Linked DNA regions of Alligator mississippiensis. The protein of the gene in region 1 purifies or fractionates together with the protein of each later gene. This does not show direct contact. Links are inferred from orthologs where the notes say so. Each region holds a gene or a part of one and is shown in the gene's direction. Other genes may lie near its edges. The genes, in order: NEUROG3 and C1QBP.

Evidence for each region.
Region 2: the proteins of NEUROG3 (region 1) and C1QBP purify together in Homo sapiens (affinity purification with mass spectrometry; 3 studies listed by BioGRID and IntAct, counting the BioPlex papers as one, with this or other methods). This does not show direct contact. The link is inferred for Alligator mississippiensis from reciprocal best matches to the Homo sapiens genes NEUROG3 and C1QBP.

The regions. Positions count from the first base shown.
Region 1 is NC_081829.1:55,902,465-55,905,846, forward strand, and holds NEUROG3 (neurogenin-3), read left to right. Parts: upstream 1-1,244; coding exon 1,245-1,790; 3' UTR 1,791-2,771; downstream 2,772-3,382. UniProt on the Homo sapiens protein: Acts as a transcriptional regulator. Together with NKX2-2, initiates transcriptional activation of NEUROD1. Involved in neurogenesis. Also required for the specification of a common precursor of the 4 pancreatic endocrine cell types.
Region 2 is NC_081837.1:15,046,826-15,050,727, forward strand, and holds the start of C1QBP (complement component 1 Q subcomponent-binding protein, mitochondrial), read left to right. Parts: upstream 1-1,270; 5' UTR 1,271-1,319; coding exon 1,320-1,557; intron 1,558-1,815; coding exon 1,816-1,966; intron 1,967-2,647; coding exon 2,648-2,735; intron 2,736-3,902.

The DNA.
Region 1 (3,382 bases):
TGGCTCAGTCCACCTGGGCCGCAGGAGGGACCGGCGCGCAGGGCCTGATCCCGGGGCCGAGCGCTTCTTGCAGGGGCCCCGCTGCGAGTCCCGCCCCAGCTGTGAAAGCCTCGGGGAGCCGGGCGCGGGGAGGAGCAGGCCCCGGCCCCCCAGCCCCGAAGGGCGCGAGGCAGCCTCGACCTCCGGTCCCTGCTGCCGGCCGGGCCCCGAGCACCCCTGCTCCGCCTGCCCGGGCCCCGCGCGGTGCGGCGCAGCAGGGCGAGGCCCGTGGCATCCCCTAGGCCGGGCCCGCCGGGCAGAGCGCCCGGTGCGCGGCCGGGGTCGGGCTCAGCGCTCTCGCGGGGCCGCTCAGTCCAGCCGCCCGCGCTGCGCGCTCCCACGCACCTGCGGTTTGCGGCCCTCACCCCGCCCGGGGACAGGCCCTGCCGAGGGGCCGTGGCGGTGCCCGCTCCCTGCCCCGGGCCGCTGCCGGGTGTCGGCCCCTTCTCGGCCCTGCCCTTGACCGTGCCCCTGCCCTTGACCCTGTCCCTGTCCTTGCCCCTGGCCGCCCTGCGTCTTCGAGCGCCTGCGGGACGCACAAGTGGCCCGCGCTGATGTCCCGTCCCGCCGGGAGGCGCTGGCGCCCAGCCCGTGCCCCTTCACACCCCAGGCTGTGTCCAGTGAGGCGCGGGTGGGGTGGGGGGTGGCGGCCCTCGCCCCTCTTCTCCCTGCCTAGCCCGGGCTACCGCGGAGCCGCCAGGCCCGAGGGAGCGGCCGGCAGGGAGCAAGCGGAGCAGGTGCGCTACCCGTCCCGCCGGGCTCCGTGGCCCCCTGCTCGGTTCGGCTCGGCCCGGGGGGCTGAGGCTCGCCCGGGCCGAGGCGCTGGTGCCTGGGCGAGGAGCAGGGGCCGCCCCGCCCCGCCCCGCCCCGCCGCCGGCCAGCGCCTTTGTTGCGCTCCCAGCTGTGCGGGGCTCGCGTGGCGGCCCCCGGCCTCGCCGCCTCTGATTGGGCGGCGGCGGGCGGGAACGAGCCAGGCACGCTCCGGGATAAAGCGTGGCAGGGGCCACGCGGCGGCGGGGGAGGCCTCATTGTCTCGGCCGCGCATATAGGGGCGCGGGCGGGCGTGTGCCGCCGCCGCGCTCCGGGCAGTCCGAGCCGGGCTCCTCCGCACCAGGCAGCCAGGTAAGACCCGGGCGCCCGCCGCGCTGCCCGGGCCCCGCCGGCCGGGGGGTGCGCAGGGGCTGACGCGGCCGCTTCCCCGCAGGATGTCTCCGCAGCAGCCGCCCGACGGCGCCGCCTCCCCGCCGCCGTCCGCCTGCAGCCCGCCGGGCTCCCCGCCGCGGAGGCCGAGGGGGCGGCGGGGCCGCGGGCGGGCGCGCAGCGAGGCGGCGCTGAGCCGGCAGAAGCGCAGCCGGCGCATGAAGGCCAACGACCGCGAGCGCAACCGCATGCACCACCTCAACTCGGCGCTGGACGCGCTGCGCGGGGTGCTGCCCACGCTGCCCGACGACGCGCGCCTCACCAAGATCGAGACGCTGCGCTTCGCCCACAACTACATCTGGGCGCTGACCGAGACGCTGCGCCTGGCCGACCAGAGCCTGTTGCCTGGCCGCGAGCCGCCGGGCCCGGCCGGCGCCTGCCTGCTGCCCCTGCCCAGCCCCGGCAGCGCCTCGCCCTGCGACTGGGACTCGCTGTGCTCGCCCGACTCGCGGGCCGGCAGCCTCAGCCCCGCCGGCTCCACGGAGGAGGCGCGCGCCTACCCCGCGCCCTGCCTGCGGCACAGCCCCCGCGCCTGCCCGCAGCTCTCCTGAGCCGCCCCCTCTCCTGCCCCTGGGGGCCGCCCACGCTCCAGGCGCCAGCTCTTGCCCCTCACCCGCTTTGCCTTAAACGGAACGGGCCTCGTCCCTTCTCTGTGCACTTTTCAGGCTCCTGCTAGAGGCGTCGACGCGGGGCTGCTTGGGGCACCGACGCTGCTGAGCTCCGGCCCGGCCTGGCTTGCAAGAAGCAGCAGCAGCAGCAGAAGACATGCACCCGGGTGTAAATTATGAGTCGCGTCGCCGCTGTTTGTATTTATTGCCCTGTCTCCCAACGCACATCTCTATTTTGTACACGGCCTGCTGCTGTCATTGTTCCGCGCCCTGGGTGGGCAGGGCAGGGCGGGTGCAGCACGTTTTATAACACCCCCCCCCCCCCCGCACCACCACCAGGAGCCACCCCTGTCGCGGGGGGACGCAGGGGCCCGGCTGAGTGCACCCAGGGGCTCCCCAGGGATGGGCAGGTGTGGTCTCGCTCCGCGGACCCCTGTGTTCGGGGCCCGGCGAGCTCCCGGGGGTGGGGGACATCGCGCCGCAGGAGCTGGCCCGCCGGCGGGGCACGGGCGCCCCGATCGCAGGAGGGACGAAACTCGGCAGCTGCGGCCTCCGGCGGGGCTCCGCGTCTCAGCGCCGCCCCCGGCAGCGGCGTCAGAAACCCGCCGTCGAGCATCTCCGTGCGCCCCGCACCAGCCCCGCGTCGCGCGGCGCACCACCCGGGGGCTGCCAACGAGCGGCCGCAGGGAGGCGGGGGCAGCTCGAGGGGAACGGGCTCCCAGCGGCCTTTCGCCGCTCTCGCTTGTCCGCCGGGGCCTGACAGAGCTGCGGGCTTGCCTCCTCACTGGGGGGTCCCGCGCCTGAGGGAGGGGAAACAGCTTCGAGCGGTGCGCGACTGGGCTGTCGGCGCCGCGATCTGGCACCGTCGGAGCCCTTGGGCCCCCCGCGCCTCAGCATCTTCACTAGCCAGGGGCTAGGCTGGCTCTGCCTCTGAGCCGGGCGGGCAGAGCCCAGGCAGCTTGGGGCGGCCTCTGCCCGGACGAGACTCCTCCTTCGCCTGCCCTGACCCGGGCCCTGCCCTGCCTGGCGCGGCTGGGGGTCCCGGGCCCGCGCCCTGCCCCACTGCTCGCTCCAGCAGCTCCAGTGCCTCCCGGGGAGTTGCGTGTCCCAGGGGAAGATGCACCTGCCCCGCATCTCTGCCCAGCGCCTCCGCCCCGCTGTTCCGCCGGGGCAGCGTCTCTGCTGTAAAGCGGCCCCCTCGGGAAGGACTCTCCCTCCTTTGATAGCGACCGCGTGGCCACGAACTTGCTGGGCCCTCCAGGTGCGTGGACGCACCTGTGCCCTAAGGCACACAGCCTCAGGGACCACATCTGTGACCTAAGGAGCAGCCAAGTGCCCTGAGGCTGGGGTGGTGGGGCTTTCAAATTTGTCTTCAAGTCTCGCAAAATCACAGGATCTGAAGGCAGACCACACCTCCAAGCCACTGGAGCAGGTTACCGCTCCCAGCAATACCCCACGCAGGCAAAGTTATCCCGAGGTAGCTCAATGACCTACGCCCGCCCTCTCATGGGACCGATGCTTAGGCGCCTTCAGAT
Region 2 (3,902 bases), on another chromosome or scaffold:
TTGCAATAAGATCCAATCTTATTTTTTAATCCTGTGTTTTATACTAGAACTAAGAAAGGCTGGACCAGTCTCATTGCTCGACTCTAGAGCTTTCCCCTCGGGAACGAGCACAATGCGCTGCTCCATGTGACAGAGCAGGGGCGGATAAAAATGTAGAAGTTATTTTTGAACAATATCCGTGCGAGTACTTCTACCGGGACCTCTCCGAGAGAGGCAGCTTTTCAATTTCAACAGAAGTCTGTTGGTAGTTTTAGGCCGAGGTGAATTAAAACAGATTAGATTTCGAAAAGGGCGGGAGAGGGACCAGTTTTGTAAACGCAGTGTCACTGTGGAATAAAACGTGCTTAGTTTAATGCGAGTGGTGGTGGTATCTTGCTTTCTAAGTGATGCGGCGTTTAGTCCCCTCTTGCGTTCTTAAACATCCAACTTAAAAGAAAAAAGTGTGTGGCGGGGGTGGCTTACATTTTAATGGGGATCATATTTGCAAACCAGTTTTGACACCGTTAATTAACCGTGGGAACAACAAGCTGCTGCCTGCTGTGCGCGCAGGGGGGATGAGCTGTGCTTCCCATTTAAAACGTCTTTTCTGGGCACGAGCTTTGGCTACGTCTCGCTTGTCCTGGAGCAGCTTTGTTCTGCTCGGTCCGCAAAAACTATGAGCAATCCTTCTGTAAAACCTGGACTTTGTTCCAACTAATCTGCAAATCGCTGGCGGCGAGGGGCAGCGTTGGCGTAAACCGGCGCGCTCCAGGTACGCGGCGTGTCCCGAGCGACCCCGGAGTCGCAGCACGCGTCCGTCTCTTCCCAGGCGCAAAGGGTGACACTTCGTGTTACGGGTGCCTGTCGAAACGTAGGCGCTCGTCTCGCTGACCCTGCCTCTTTCTCCGTATTGTCCACGGCTGGCGAAGGCGCTGAGGGCGCATTTTGGCCGTGGCCGGCTGCACCCCGGGGGCCTCCGGGCAGCGGTGGGAGCGGGGAGTTGCAGAGCTCTGCCCCCGGCGTCGTACAGAAACGTGACGCCTGTCAAATAAAAGCACATGTCGTTGGGGCGGTCTCTCAACGACGTTTGGGGTTATTTAGAAACGACTAGTTGCACAACTGCCCGTTTCCCGTCACGCAGCGCCTGCAGAGCGTCGGCTCGTGCCGGGGTATCTGCGCGCGCAGCTCGAACAGGCGGCCCCACGGGCGGGAGGCGGAAGGGGCGGGGCAGGAAGCGCGCTTCCGGCTGGCGGCATCGGCTTCCGGGGCAGAGGTCAGGCCGGCCGCACTCCCTCTCGCACGTGTCGCTGCCTTTCTTCTCTAGCTTCGCGCCAGACGCCATGCTGCTAGCCCAAGCGCTCCGCTCCGCCGCCGCCGGCGCCCTCCGCTCGCCGCGCGCCCTGCTGCGCCCGGCCGCGCGCCTCCCGCGGGGCCCGCCTGCTGCCGCCGCCGCCGCCGCGCGCCCCTTCACGCGCTCCCTCTGGCTGCTCTGCGGCGAGGCCGGCGGCCCGCGGCCCTCCGCGCTCCTGCGGCCCCCGCCCGGCCTGTCCTTTGGCTGCGGCGGTCTCCACACCGAGGGTGAGCCTCCGGCCTGAGTGACCTTGGCCCTGGGCCTGCACTGCTGCAGGGCAGCGGGTCCCGCCTGGGGCCTTTCCGCACCCTGCTCAGGGCGGGCAGCCTCTGAGTCCTTCACCCCGCCTGGCAGCGCCGGCGAAGGGTGACGCAGAAATCTTCCCCTTCTTTTACCTGGGGGTCGGTGGGAAAGCCAGGGGTGGAGCTCGGGTCCAGGAAGCAAAATGTCTCCTGTCCCAAATGACCTCTTCTGTTCCTCGCAAGGGGACAAAGTGTTTTCCGAGTTCCTGATGGATGAGATCAAACAAGAAAAGAAGATCCAGAAGCACAAATCCCTGCCCGAGATGTCCGGAGGGTGGGAGCTGGAAGTGCAGGGCACCGAGGCCAAACTGCTGCGGAACGTATCTGGCGAGAAGTAAGTGATGCGGATCTGTGCGTTTCATGTTATTTGATGTTAGCAAACTGGAAACAAAACAAAAAAAAAAGCCCTGTATATAAAGCTGGGTGCGCACATGTGCTTAAGAGGCATGCGCATGTTAATGAAGAACTAAGTGCTGCTTCCCAGTGTCCCCCGGGGTTATGTATTTCTTGTAACCTAGTTGCGTTCCCCTCCTCAGCCCCGTCCCTGGTTGAGGCGCTCTGTATTTCCTTTATGGCTTTTGTCACGTTTGTTTCACAACCAAGGAGAAAACAAAAATGGCCAAGGAGAAATGCTAGATGTTTCATACTCATTACTTTTCTTGGAAAAGGGAGCTTGTCACGGAGAATTTTGCCCTGTTTCCTATCCCGTGTATTCCAAAACTTCATGCCACCATTTCACACAAGAAGAAAAACTAGAGAATTCAACCTACGAAACTGAAAATATCCTTGTTAGTCAATATAGGGCACTTACGGAGTTTAAACTTGGTGCAGATGGCTGTATTTTAAAACACATAAACTGGGGAGCAGTGCGCTGTATGAGGTACAGGGGAGATTCAGGGGGATGCTTAATACACTTCAAATCCTGTTCGCATCTTGAGTTCAGCACTTGAAACTTTGAGTAGGGTTACAGTTAATGTGGGTTGTACAACTAACTCTTCCTATTGTGATGTTAAAGGATTTCAGTCACGTTCAACATTAACAACAGCATCCCACCAGTGATTGATGAAGAGCCCCAAGAAGGACAGAAAGCTGATGAACAGGAGGTAAACCTACAGCCTATGTGTTCCCTTTCAGTTAGTACACTGTAGGGTAGAGGGGAAGTCAGGCCATTGCCCAGTTGTGTTTGGGCAGACACTGTTAACTTGGTCTTCAGAACACAAAGGTGCTTAATGCTGGCATAATGCAGATTGTTGTTACTTTTATTTTTTCCCATTACTACAGTAGCAAAAGCCCGGCCTACAGTAGCAAAAGCTTTTGGCCACTTGGCATAATCTCTGCCAGGGCAGGAGGAATTTTTTATAGTTGCAAGTGAAGGTAGTTGATCTTATAGCTGCCTTCCCTTCCTGCTGTAATGAAGGCCAGGTCTGTGCAAGGAGCTCCTTGCTACTGTGCTATAGAGCAAAGAGAGCCTGGTGTGGTGCCCCCACCCTGTCCATGAGTCGTATCAGGGAGAGCTCAGTGCTATGAGCTGCGTTTACGCTACAGCTGTGTACTGGTCTGGCTGTAGTAGTCAGGGATCACGTCTCTTCACATGTCTGGCTGATACCAATGGCACTAAGAACTTGCAGTGCACACAAAAACTTAAATGGCTTGATCCTTGATCTTTTTATAAGGTCACTGACTTCCAACAGTTAGTTACAAGGGAGAGCAGAGTCAGTATATGGTATTGGTAGTTGTTTAAATCACCAGTGTGGTTTGGGGCAACCAACTCGCTAATCCCTGAGCACTTCATAGTAGTTAGGGGTCAGAAGGGACCTGACTAGATCATTTAGTCTGACCCCCCGCCACTGGTAGGAGCACGCACTGGGATCACACCACCCCAGACAGGTGTTCATCCAACCTCTTTTTGAATTTACCCAAGGTAGGAGCGAGGACCACTTCCCTAGGAAGCTGGTTCCAGAACCTAGCCACCCTAACAGTGAAATAGTGCCTCCTAATTTCTAACCTGAACCTATTCTCCAGCAGCTTCTGGCCATTGTTCCTTGTTGCCCCAGGTGCTGCTGGGGGAAATAGGGCCCTTCCTATTTGCTGCTGATCTCCCCTAACGTGTTTGTAGGCAGCCACCAAATCCCCCCTCAGCCTCCCATTTGCTGAGGCTGAACAGGTTCAGGCCCCTCAGCCTCTCCTCATAGGGCCTGCCCTGTTGCCCTCCAACCAAGCAGGTGGCCTTCCTCTGAACTCTCTTGAGGCAGGCCACATCCTTCTTAAAG